Linked DNA regions of Macaca mulatta. The protein of the gene in region 1 interacts with the protein of each later gene in a biochemical or structural test. Links are inferred from orthologs where the notes say so. Each region holds a gene or a part of one and is shown in the gene's direction. Other genes may lie near its edges.

Region 1 (4,080 bases):
GGTTCAGGCGATTCTCCTGCCTCAGCCTCCCGAGTAGCTGGGATCACAGGCGAGTAGCTGGGATCACAGGCGTGTGCCACCACGCCCGGCTAATTTTTTAATGGCCAGGCTGGTCTCGAAATCCTGACCTCAGGTGATCCAACTACCTTGGCCTCCCAAAGTGTTGGGATTACAGGCATGAGTCACCGCGCCCGGCCAATTCCCCTAACATCTTGTAGCCTCGGAGTCAAAGACCTTACTGGTTTTGATAGATACCATCACCACAACAGTCATCAATAAGCACATGAGTATACTAGATCAGGGCTGAGTTATAAAAATTTACCCAAGGAGGTGGTCCCCTAAAAGTAGATTTTTTCTTTCCCCCTGACAGGTCCATCAATAAAGTATCAAGAGATTATCGGCAATATTACAAATCACTGAAGTCTGTGTGGGGTTTTCTAGAAGCTGAGCCAATTATTTACTTAATTGTCTAACGATTAACGACACCCCTTCTGCTTTCTGGGCCTGCGTTTCGTAATCGATGACCTGAGAGGTATAAAGTAATTTCAAAAAAAAAAAAAAAACCACAAAAAACGAAAAACAACAAACCACCCCTCGGAACAGAGGCTTATCATGTGAGCACCCAGACAAGCCAGCTTCAAAATGAGGTGAAAACTACAGTTCCTCTTCCGTTTATCAGAGTTCTAACTGGGACCACCGTGAACCACATCTACTGCCCGAGGGGCAGGGACGGCTGCTTCAGTCCCCGGGCTTCCCGCTCGGTCCCTTCGCACCGCATCTCCCTGAGGCCGCTACTCCCGCCGCGCCCGCCCAGGGAACTGCCCCGCCAGCGTCGTACCCGCAGGTTGGCTCGGAGACCCAGACTCTTGGCTAAGTTCTGCAGGTCACTGTACTTGAGGGAGTCCAGCTCCTCTAGGGAGGGGATGATCATCGCGATTCAAAATCCCGGTGATACTCAGAAGATGGATCACCAAGTCTCGTAAGCGAGGTTCAAATCCCTGGCGCCACTCTTAACTTTGACTAAGCTGAAATTTATAGACAGTTTAAATGAAGAATGCCGCGCTTCCATTGGTTGAAAATGCCTCAAAGGCGGGGTTTCTAACCCTGACCAATAGAAAGGCTGATTTCCCGTCCCAACAGTCGCGCGCTTTTCTCACACTTCACGAATACGCAGGCGCCGAAGGGCCTGTAAGGCCGGTTCAGGTAACGAGTGCGCGGACTGGGACTCCAGTGCTTGGATTGCCCACGATGTCCAATGAGGACGCAGGAGCTGTGCTTGGGGCGGGGCCTGGCGTGTATTCGAAACGACGGCGCCGGCTGAGAGAAGATGGCGTTTCAGCCGCGGCGGCATCGCTCCCCTTGTGCAACGCCGCCCCAGGGTGACTTTTGTGATGGCACTGAGAGGGCGATTGACGAAGCATCTTTTACGACCTCCATGGAGTGGGATACACAGGTGGTGAAGGGGTCCTCGCCGCTCGGCCCCGCAGGGCTGGGGGCTGAGGAGCCGGCCGCCGTCTCGCAGCTGCCGTCTTGGCTGCAGCCTGAGAGGTGCGCTGTTTTCCAGTGCGCACAATGCCACGCCGTGCTCGCCGACTCGGTGCACCTCGCCTGGGACCTGTCGCGGTCCCTTGGGGCCGTGGTCTTCTCCAGTGAGTGCAGTGAGGCGTTCGGGAAAGGCAGAGGCTAGCCCGAGAGGTTGTTCCCGCCTTCTCCACCGGGTGGCAGAGAACCACCTGGGGAAGAAAACGGAATGAAAATTTGGAAGCACATAACTCCTTGGCCTGGGGATGGGGCAGGGAACTGGGGAGTCTCCTGACATTTATGGCGGGGATGAGTCTGTCTAGAGGAGAGATTTTCCATTTCAAGGCCCGCAGAGTATGAGTTCTGACCCGTGTTTGTGTTCCTAGGAGTTACAAATAACGTCGTTTTGGAAGCGCCCTTCCTAGTTGGCATTGAAGGTTCACTCAAAGGCAGGTACGTATTGATAATTACAGATTGGTCTCTAGTCCCTGACTTTATGAGACTGAGGAGCGTGGAACTGACATGTACTTGTTGAGCAAGTCTGTTGACAGCATTTCCTTTTTTTTTGTTGGTTTGATTTTTTTCTTTTTGAGATGGAGCCTCACTCTGTTGCCCAGGCTGGAGTGCGGTGGCGCGATCTCGGCTCACTGCAAGCTCTGCCTCCCAGGTTCACACCATTCTGCCTCAGCCTCCCGAGTAGCTGGGAAGGCATGTGAAGTCATGCCAAATTGTGAATATGAAGAAAAAAATGGGGCCGGGCGCGGTGGCTCACGCTTGTAATCCCAGCACTTTGGGAGGCTGAGGTGGGTGGATCACATGAGGTCAGGAGTTCAAGACCAACCTGACCAACATGGTGAACCCCCGTCTCTACTAAAAATACAAAATTAGCCGGGCATGGTGGCACACACCTGTAATTCCAGCTCTTTGGGAGGCTGAGGCAGGAGAATCACTTGAACCCGGGAGGCAGAGGTTGCAGTGCACTGAGAACACACCATTGCACTCCAGCTTGGGCAGCAAGAGCAAAACTCCATCAAACAAACAAATACATGGAAATTAAAAGTGCTACTCCAGTTATAAGCTGATATGGAGGAAGTTTGAGTGGTATGAGTAGAAGATCAAACCAGCCACAGCATTCCTTTAAACCAAAGCCTAATCCAGAACAAGGCCCTAACTCTCTTCAATTCTGTGAAGGCTGAGAGGTGAGGAAGCTGCAGAAGTTTGAAAGTAGCAAATGTTGGCTAGGTGCAATGGCTCATGCCTGTAGCCCCAGCACTTTGGGAGGCCGAGGTGGGTGGATTGCTTGAACCCAGGAGTTTGAGACCAGCCTGGGCAACATGGTGAAATGCTGTCTCTACAAAATACAAAACAATTTAGCCGGATGTGGTGGTGCACACCTATAGTCCCAGCTGCTTGGGAGGCTGAGAAGGAAGGCTGGCTTGAGCCATAGAGGTCGAGGCTACAGTGGAGCTGTGATTGTGCCACCACACTCCAGCCGGGGTGACAGAGCAAGACTATCTAAAAAAAAAAACAGAGGTTGGTTCTTGAGATTTAAGGAAAGAAACCTTCTCTATAACAAAAGTCCAAAGTGAAACAGCAAGTACTGATGCAGAAGCTGCAGAAAATGAAAGTGGGTACACTAAACAACAGATTTTCAGTGCAGATGAAACAGCCTTCTATTGGAAGAAGATGCCATCTCAGACTTTCATAGGTAGAAAGGACAAGTATTACCTGGCTTGAAAGGAGCTGGTCACAGTGACTCACACGTGTAATCCCAGCACTTTGGGAGACCAAGGTGGGAGGATTGCTTGAGCATAGGAGTTCAAGACCAGCCTGGGCAACATAGCAAGAACCGATCTCTACAAAACATTTAAAAATTAGATGGGCATTATAGTGTGCACCTGTGGTCCAGCTAATTGGAAGGCTGAGGTGGGAGGATCACTTGAGTCTGGGATGTCAAGGCTGTAGTGAGCTGTGATGGTACCACTGTACTCCATCCAAAAAAAAGAAAAAAAAAAGCTTCAAAGGACAGGCTTTCTCTCTTGTTAGGGGCCAATGCAGCTGATGACTTTAAGTTGAAGTCAATGCTCATTTACTGTTACTATCTATAGCTACTATAGATAGTTATTCCTCTGATGGATATGGGCAAAGTAAATTGAAAACCTTCTGGAAACCCAGCTAAATTTTGTATTTTTAGTAGAGACGGAGTTTCACCATGTTGACCAGGCTGTTCTCAAACTCCTGGTCTCAGGTGATCTGCTCGCCTCCCAAAATGCTCAGATTATAAGCGTGAGCCATTGCGCCCGGCCCAGTAAATTAATTTCCACTGACACATTTGTTTATAAGTACTGTGCTTTGTCTGAACTAATTAATTCCTACGTGGAATTTCAAATTAATGACACTTTATTTCACAGTTTGCTTTTTGGTTACCTATATTCACAAGATTACTATATGTGTGGTGTGGGACTTCATTTACCAATAAACCTAATATATTTTGTTATTTGTTCTTTTTTAGTATCCATTGACATGAATATTTCTTTTTAGCTATGTGTTTTTTGTTTT
Region 2 (4,010 bases), on another chromosome or scaffold:
CAAATTAAATGTGTAGATCCTGCAACTGGAGAAGACTGAGAGGATGTTTATATAGGGAGGAAGGGAGGGAAAGAAACAGGATTGGTAGGTTACCCCATCCAATTCCGTGGAATTGAGAGCTCGGAAGATAAAGTGGCCCAGGGTTTTCTTCCATCAGACTGAAATAGTACAGCCTTCCTGTTCCCACCTGGATCAGTCACTGGCGCTGGGCCACCCTGGGGCAGCAGGATCTTGGGTGAGGGAGTTCTCTGCAACTGAATCGTCCCAGAATAGGCTGACAACTGAAGGCCCCTGCCAACTGCCCCCCAGCAGCTGTGGCATCTTAAGGGGAATCAGGCCAGCACATCTCTGTGTCCAGCACAACGTAACACATTTTTTTTTTTTTTTTTTTTTTGAGACGGAGTCTCGCTCTGTCGCCCAGGCTGGAGTGCAGTGGCCTGATCTCAGCTCACTGCAAGCTCCGCCTCCCGGGTTCACGCCATTCTCCTGCCTCAGCCTCCCGAGTAGCTGGGACCACAGGCGCACGCCAGCTCGCCCGGCTAGTTTTTTGTATTTTTTAGTAGAGACGGGGTTTCACTGTGTTAGCCAGGATGGTCTCGATCTCCTGACCTTGTGATCCACCCGTCTCGGCCTCCCAAAGTGCTGGGATTACAGGCTTGAGCCACCGCGCCCGGCCCAACGCAACACATTTTGTGGTCACACACACTACATGAGCCCCAAAGTTCTCACGCTCCCCCCACCCCCACCTAAATTTCTGCAGGACATCATGATAGAATTGCCGTGCAGGCTGAAAGGAGGTGAAGATCCCCCTCTAAGGGACCTCTTGGTGCTCAGTAATGCTTTTATTTTCAATCACATACTATGGTAATCACATCAGCACAAGCACACAAATGTGGTTAAGTCACCCTGTGTTTCCTTAGGATTGACATTCCTAAGATGTCAATCACAAATTCCATCAGCCATACTAAAGACTGATTTATCTTGCTCTTCTCTCTGGAGAAAATATTACAAGATTAATATCAATGAAGAAGCAGAATATGCAATCAGAAATACATGGGGGAAAAGGTGGGTTAAAACAAGTATTTTCCTGGATTTTGTGATGTGTATGGCATTTGTCAGCATCTTTAAATGTGTCATTCGTTGAGACTTATTTTTTCTTTCGCTATCCTGCCTCCTTTTGGGTTGGTAATTTGGGGTTGTCTTTCTTAGGCCCCTGCCCTCGAAACCGCGCCGGGATCCCAGGCGGGCGAGTGAGGAAGGCGGCCCCCGCCCGGCGGCGACACCTAGAGCAAGTCACGCAGAAATCTCCAGGCCGTACTTATCTCCGGTGCACAGCGCGGGAGATGACACGCATCCCACCGGATCTCGCACAGCCCCGCTGATTAACAAGCACAGAGCCATTGTAGCAACTTCCACCCACTTCGGCTACCGGAGACCGACCCTCCCTTCCGCCGGACACGCTTCTTGGGGCGTGGCTGGAAACTCGGGCGTGGATTGGCCGGGAGGAGGGATGCAAATTTGTTTGAAAGGCCCAATCAGCGCCCGGCTTCTCCGCGCTGGCCAATAGAAAACCGAGAGGAAGGCAGGAAGGGCGAAGTCGCTTATTTGAGTGTGCGGCGCGCCGGGCCCTGCGGTCCGGGTCGCCGCTGGGGTAGCGGTTAAGTCTGCGGCTTGGTACGATTCTGGGTCCGCTGCGCACCATGGAGAGCGAGGACGTGGAAGACGACCCGCTGCTGCAGAAACTCAGGGCCAGTCGCCGCCGCTTCCAGAGGCGCATGCAGCTACTGATAGAGAAGGTGCGGCCCCCGCCGGTCCGCCAGGAGGGGAGGCCTGCGGGTCGGAGTGAGGCTGGGAGGGGACGTAGGACGGGAAGGGAAGGGGCTCTGAGGGCTCGGAGCGGGTGCTGGGGAAGCGGGACTGGGGCTTGGGTGCGGAGAGAAGGTGGAGGCGGAGCTGGGGGCTCCAGAGAGGGAAGGAGGAGGCAGCGCCGAAGGCTTCGGAGCGGGGACGGGGAGGAAAGACTGCGGCCTCCGGAGCGGGGAGTGGGGAAGCGGGACTGGGGCTCGGGTGCAGAGAGGAGGGTTTGGTGGGGCTGGGGGGCTCCTGAGTGGGACGAGAGAGGCGGGGTTGCGGACTCCGCTGCGGAGACCGCGATTGGGGCGCCCCCGGCCAGACTAACGGCCTCTCGCGGGCTGGCGCCGCCTCCGCCGGGGTCTGAGGCCCCTGGGACCTGACAGGAAACCCCTCCTCCTCCACAGTACAACCAGCCCTTCGAGGACACCCCGGTGGTGCAAATGGCCACGCTGACCTACGAGACGCCACAGGGTAAGTGTCATCCTCGCCTTCTGAGTATTCGGGTGAAGAGTGCGAATGGAGTAGTTGAAATGCTGTCACTGCTGTTTTAGGAAGTAAACATTGTTCACCTAATAGGAACCAAAACATTGGTGCCCTTAAACCTGTAAATTACTTGGATTACTTATTAAAACAATTCCTGAAGAGACATAGGTGCCTCCTGGCTCGCACGCCTCCGGCTTGCCGGGTTGGCATCCCCGCTGGCCATCTCCACACCATGGCAGCTCGGGGCAGTTGCTTAGCTGGACTGGTCTCAGTGTCTTCATCTGTGAAATGGGAAGGATGCTGACAATAATGTCTCCTGGGCAGGGGTGTTGTAACAGTTACGTACAATCCCTGTGAAACTCTGGGAACAGTACCCACCCTCCACTGCCAATACTCACTTTGACTATTGTTTGCCCTGTTTAACTTGGAGTAGTAACTGTCTTCCTTGAGGCTCCAAGTACTTGAATAGGGAGAAGGCATTCCGTTTAATAGTTAATGTAACGGACTGAAATCTTGTGGATTCTTTTTGGTAAATAGCTGGTGACAGTTTGCACTGGCTGGGGTCAATTCCTCCCGTATAGCTTTATAACTAACTCAGTATCACTTAATGAAAACAAACCTCACAGCACGTTCTGTGTTGCATTAAACAGACGGGCACAAAAGGTTCACAAGATCTGCTCCTTGAATTAAAAGAAATCCTACCTTTCCGCCTTTATAGGCAATCCAGGCGCATCTTGGGTGAAAAGTTTACATAGGCAGAAACTAAAATATTCCAGTGGCAGGTCTCTGTATAACATGTAGATTGCCCTTAGAAAGCATTCATTCCGTATATGGGATGTAGAGATTGCCTGCGAAAAGTGCTTACTCCCTCTAAATAGTATATAGATTGTCCTCTCTTTATGTATTTTAAGGACAGTTGCTGTCACATATGTTCCTTGTTTTCATGTAACTCTTTGGGCTAATGATGTAATTTGATGAGCCATTGCCTAGTAGGTAAGAGAGAGTTCCATCAATGACACATTTGCCTTAAAAACCTGAAACTTTACAAAGAGGAACAACAGCAGGGTATCAGAAGCCTGGCTTGGTTTTAATTTTGTACCTTTTTTTTGCCTGTCACTTTGGCTTCCAGTGAACACAGATTGAGCAGAAGTTCAGCGTTCAGGATTATGTCAATGGTCATTTTTGTTTCTTTTCTTCAGGATTGAGAATTTGGGGTGGAAGACTAATAAAGGAAAGAAACGAAAGAGAGATCCAGGTATTTAGTGTCAAATTTTATTGCCACATAACCTTGCTGTGGAGGAGCATTGATGTGAATAAAGGTGTGGGTGTGCCCAACCTCTGAGCTTATGCAGAGGCCACCACGGGGCACTTCTCACCTTGATTATACTCTTTTTCTGTTTTTAAGGATTTAGAAGCGTTTCTTCTGTAGCTTGTCAAGTGCAAGGAGGCACTGTGTAATGTTTGGCCTTTTGTGTCACCCTGTGTTTCCTGTGTCACAGGCTGAGGGGCTCTGATAACACACATGCAGAGGCTGGGCCAGCTGGGTAACCCTCCCCAAGGCCACGTGCCAGCCCAGCGAGGGGCTCACAGAAAAGACCAAATCCAGTTCCTTCTAGGGAAGAAGAATGTCTCTCTTCCTGTTTTGAAATGGGAGGAAGAGAGATGAGGGGAGG
Region 3 (4,279 bases), on another chromosome or scaffold:
CAGGAGTTCGAGACCAGCCTGGGCAACATACTGAAACATCATCTCTGAAAAAATAAAGGAAAAAAAGCAGAAGGAAGGAAGGGAATTCTATGGGTGGAAAAAAAAAAGCCTAAATTATCTAAAGCATTTTCTTCCAGTAAGAAGCTCATTAACATGAGCATGGTGTGCTAGGGTTTACAAAGTATCTTCATGAATATTAGAAAACTTGATCCTTATGAACAACTTGGTGTAGTACTGAAGAAACAGACTCCATTTACTCCAGGAAGAATCAGACTCAGGAAAAGCAAACAGCCTTTTCCACAGTTCCCTACACTGTTACTACCTTGTGGAGGGAGGGGTAAGTTAACCAGGACCACTGACTCCAAAGCTTTTGCTTTTTGCTAGTGGCTGTAAGTACGTAAATAGTTTATGCAACCAAGCAAAGTAGGCAGTGACTTGGGGGACACCCAGCGCGTAGTGGGAACAGAGGTAGGTCCTTGCAGGTAGCTTTCTTCCCAGGTATGCCACCAGGCTGTCTCCGGTGCATAAAGCTGGCTGGTTCCCCGTCAGCTTTCCCTCCTGACCTATGGTGTTTTAGGCAGAGGCTGGCTTTCTGGGGCAGCTGGGGAAATCTGTCCTTATCATCAAGAAGGGATGCTTCTTCCTTGCAAGGACGAATTATTCCTTGATCCAAGCAGCAGGCACACTTCCAAGCTTTCCAGGGGCATGGCTGCTTCCTCAACTTTTTCCTTGCAGTGACAGCCTGAGTGATCCGGGGCCCTTCCCAGGGTCTCATTCTAGGAATAGCAATGCGCAAAAAGACCCTGTGACGAGGGGCTCCCCTATCCCCTTCCTTCTCCACTTCATGGAAAGGAGGCCCCCAGGAGCAAGTGGAGTCGCTTATATGCAACTATAATTAGTCCATTTACAAAAAAGAAGAAAAAGGGTGGTGGTCTGGCACAGTGGCTCACGCTTGTGATCCTGGCATTTTGGGAGGTCGAGGCGGGAAGATCGCTTAAGGCTAGGAGTTCGAGACTGGCAACATAGAAAGACTCCTCCCCATCCCCCAAAAAAGGTTGGGCTGCCAATACTGACAGCGTGGGCAAGCCTAGGAGCTTGTTAGAAATGCAGATTCTCGGGCTAACCTGCTACCTGCTGAACCAGAGTCTGTGAAGATGGAGCCTGGCGATCTGTTTAAGAAGCTCGCCAGGTGGTTCTTAGACACTCAGGCTTGCAGCCCGTAACTTTCTCAGTGACGCTGCCCCTCCCACGGAAAGGGGTGAATAATCCTTAGGAAGACAAGCAAACAGGTCAGCAGCGTTAATTTCTTCAGGCTAGAAAACCTGACGCAGGCGCAGTGACTAACACGCCAGGCCAAGGGCGCACGGCGCGCATGCGCACTAGAAGCCGCCCGCCGTCCGGCCCCTTCAAGCGTTTGCCCCTTCTCGGCCTCCGCCAACGCGCCCCGCCCCGCGCATGTGCAGCGGCGGGTTTTTTTCCCTTCGCGCTCTGGGGCGCGGGCGATTTGTAGGTAATGGCGGGCGTTCGGGCCCTGAGGTGCAGCAGAGGATGCGCTGGCGGCTGTGAGTGCGGCGACAAGGGCAAGGGCAGCGACTCCTCGCTGTTGGGCAAGAGACTCTCCGAAGACTCGAGCCGCCACCAGCTGCTGCAGAAGTGGGCGAGCATGTGGAGCTCCGTGAGCGAAGACGCGTCGGTGGCCGACACGGAGAAGGCGCGGCTCGAGGAGGCGGGGGCTGCGGAGGAGAGGCCGCTGGTGTTCCTGTGCTGCGGCTGCCGGCGGCCGCTGGGCGACTCGCTGAGCTGGGTGGCCAGCCAGGAGGACACCAACTGCATCCTGCTGCGCTGTCAGTTGGGTCGAGCCGGGCATGGGGGCGTGGGGTCGCCTTCTTCCAGGTGTGCCGCACCGGGGCGGCCCCGGAGGGGGCGGGGGCTCCTTGGCGCTGTCCAGGGACTTTGAGAGCAAAAAGTCTGAGAGTGTGAGCTGTCGCAGGAAAAGGGGAGGAGGGTCACCCCTCCACTTTGGTTCTCGGGCGACTGGTTCTGTTCTGGGCTCCCCGATCCCAGAAGAGCAGCGGTTGAGTCAGCATCATCGTGAGCATTACTCAGAAGCAAAGGGCAACAAAGAATAACACTTTTAAAGACCCTAAAAAAAGAGAAACAAATGGTCAACTAGACTGTAAGCACTTGAGGTGCAGCCAGTACTATTACTCCCCACAGAAATTAGCGGGCTGTGTGTATCAGCGGATACCTCTACAGTCTCCAGTGATAGGGCCGCGGAGCTGACGGAACACAGTGCTATGGGGAAGAAAGGGAAGGAAATTTGCCGTAAAAGCACCACCAACCTCATCAAAATTGGCGAGGAAGGAGGACGTAGTAGCAAAAGAGTTCAGAAGGCGGCGGGAATTCGTTTCTAATCCTCGTCCTAGCAGTTACCTGTTTTTCCACTGTTCCCTCATTTTGCTATTTTTACAGTATTTAGGGATAAAGTGGTTCACATATTTTTTCTGAATTGGTGTAAAAATGGCTGTTGTTTTGGATTGTGGTTTTTCAAGATGAGGTTTTTCCTCTCTTTGAATACTGTAAATGTTTCGATGGCAGAAATTCATCACCGGCTTATCGACGTTTCTGGAACGTTTTCCTTGGTGTAATACTGGGAATAAAGGAGCACACCAGTGTCCCCCTAGTTAACTGAAAGTTGAGATAAACTCTTTGCACCTCTTAAAATCAAACTAGGCCAAGCGCGGTGACTCAGACCTGTAATCTCAGCACTTTGGGAGGCTGAAATGGGCGGATCACGAGGTCAGGAGCTCGAGACCATCCTGGCCAACATGTGAAACCCCATCTCTACTGAAAATACAACAATTCCAGACCACCCTCGCCAAAGCCAAAAATTAACCGGGCATGGTGGTGTGCGCTCATAATCCCAGCTATTCCGGAGGCTGAGGCAGGAGAATCGCTTGAATCAGGGAGGAGGAGGTTGCAGGGGCCGAGATTGCGCCACTGCACTACAGCCTGGCAACAGCGCTAGACTCCATCTCAAAAAAAAAAAAAAAAAAAAAACCAGGCAGATTTTTGATCCAGTAGGAAAAGCTCTTTGAATGAGTTTACCTTGTTTACATCTTTTTAAGAAATAACATGTTTGGTGTTACATCTTTCATTTTATTTGTACTTTGTTTCGATAGTATCTTTTACCATGTGGCCTCTTTTCTTTGTTTTGCTTTACTTATAGAAAGGCAATTATTTTTGTTAATTTTTATATTAATAGTTTTTAAATTTAAAACGTAGTTTTAAAATAGTAAACATAGTTTAAAGAACTATACACTTTTTGATTAATCAGATTTAGATAATAGGATTTAACATCTCCCCGCCCTCCCCCCCACCCCCGTAAAGACAAACATGAATTCCGATTCATTTCCATTCCTTCCTTACCCAATTTGAATTAGTTTAATTATTTTCATTTTGTTAAGGTTTATACATTTACATTCTGTACATTTACATTCTGTTGTAGACATAACAGCCTTACTATGATTTTTTAAAATAGGGTTAATTATTTAATAGATTATTTTTTTAATAGGGTTATAGTGGGTTAACAGCCCTCTGTTGCCCAGGCTGGAGTACAGTGGCACAATCATAGCTCACTGTAACCTTGAATGCCTGCTCAAACTGTCCTCCCAGCTCAGCTTCCCAAGTAGCTTGGGACAACAGACACAAACTAACACCTGGCTAATTTTTAAATGTTTTGTAGAGACAGAGTCTTGCTATGTTGCTCAGGCTGATCTCAAACTCCTGGCCCCAAGCAATCCCCTGCTTCAGCCTCCTAGAGTGCTGGGATTACCAATGTGAGTTAGAGCACCCGATCCTATAATGTTTATATAATTTTTTTTCCCCAACTCCAGTACTCATTAACATAAGAAAGCTTCTTAATAGCTTTTTTCATTCCTGAGTTGTTTGCTTAATCTTTAGTGCTCCCCACGTCCACATCTCCAAGAAAATTTCAAGTTTATGTGCTTGAAAATATTTTCCTGTTTTTATACGTGAATGCTAGCTGGGCTGCGGGTACAGTTCTTGGTCATGCTCTCTGCTTTTGATAGGTGCTGAGCAGCTGGTGCAAAATCCTTGAGACTAGAGTATGGTCAAAGAGAATAAAGATAAGATTTAGGGAGGAAGGAAGAGACCAGAAACTGCAAGACGTTTTAGTCTGTTCTAAAGAGTAGTAATCTGTTCTAGTAAGTACATTATTATGCTAGCTTAGGCAGGGGAGTAATATGACCCTGCATTT

The links.
Region 2: the proteins of OIP5 (region 1) and HJURP form a complex in vitro, tested with the Homo sapiens proteins (2 studies listed by BioGRID). The link is inferred for Macaca mulatta from reciprocal best matches to the Homo sapiens genes OIP5 and HJURP.
Region 3: the proteins of OIP5 (region 1) and MIS18A form a complex in vitro, tested with the Homo sapiens proteins (3 studies listed by BioGRID). The link is inferred for Macaca mulatta from reciprocal best matches to the Homo sapiens genes OIP5 and MIS18A.

The regions. Positions count from the first base shown.
Region 1 is NC_133412.1:18,677,401-18,681,480, reverse strand, and holds the start of OIP5 (protein Mis18-beta), read left to right. Parts: upstream 1-1,280; 5' UTR 1,281-1,327; coding exon 1,328-1,649; exon of another isoform or gene 1,650-1,733; intron 1,734-1,907; coding exon 1,908-1,974; intron 1,975-4,080. Other genes in the region: NUSAP1 (nucleolar and spindle-associated protein 1), read right to left, coding at 839-931. UniProt on the Homo sapiens protein: Required for recruitment of CENPA to centromeres and normal chromosome segregation during mitosis.
Region 2 is NC_133417.1:139,127,726-139,131,735, reverse strand, and holds the start of HJURP (Holliday junction recognition protein), read left to right. Parts: upstream 1-1,209; 5' UTR 1,210-1,700; coding exon 1,701-1,796; intron 1,797-2,258; coding exon 2,259-2,325; intron 2,326-3,536; coding exon 3,537-3,592; intron 3,593-4,010. UniProt on the Homo sapiens protein: Centromeric protein that plays a central role in the incorporation and maintenance of histone H3-like variant CENPA at centromeres.
Region 3 is NC_133408.1:15,067,790-15,072,068, forward strand, and holds the start of MIS18A (protein Mis18-alpha), read left to right. Parts: upstream 1-1,478; 5' UTR 1,479-1,513; coding exon 1,514-1,844; intron 1,845-4,279. UniProt on the Homo sapiens protein: Required for recruitment of CENPA to centromeres and normal chromosome segregation during mitosis.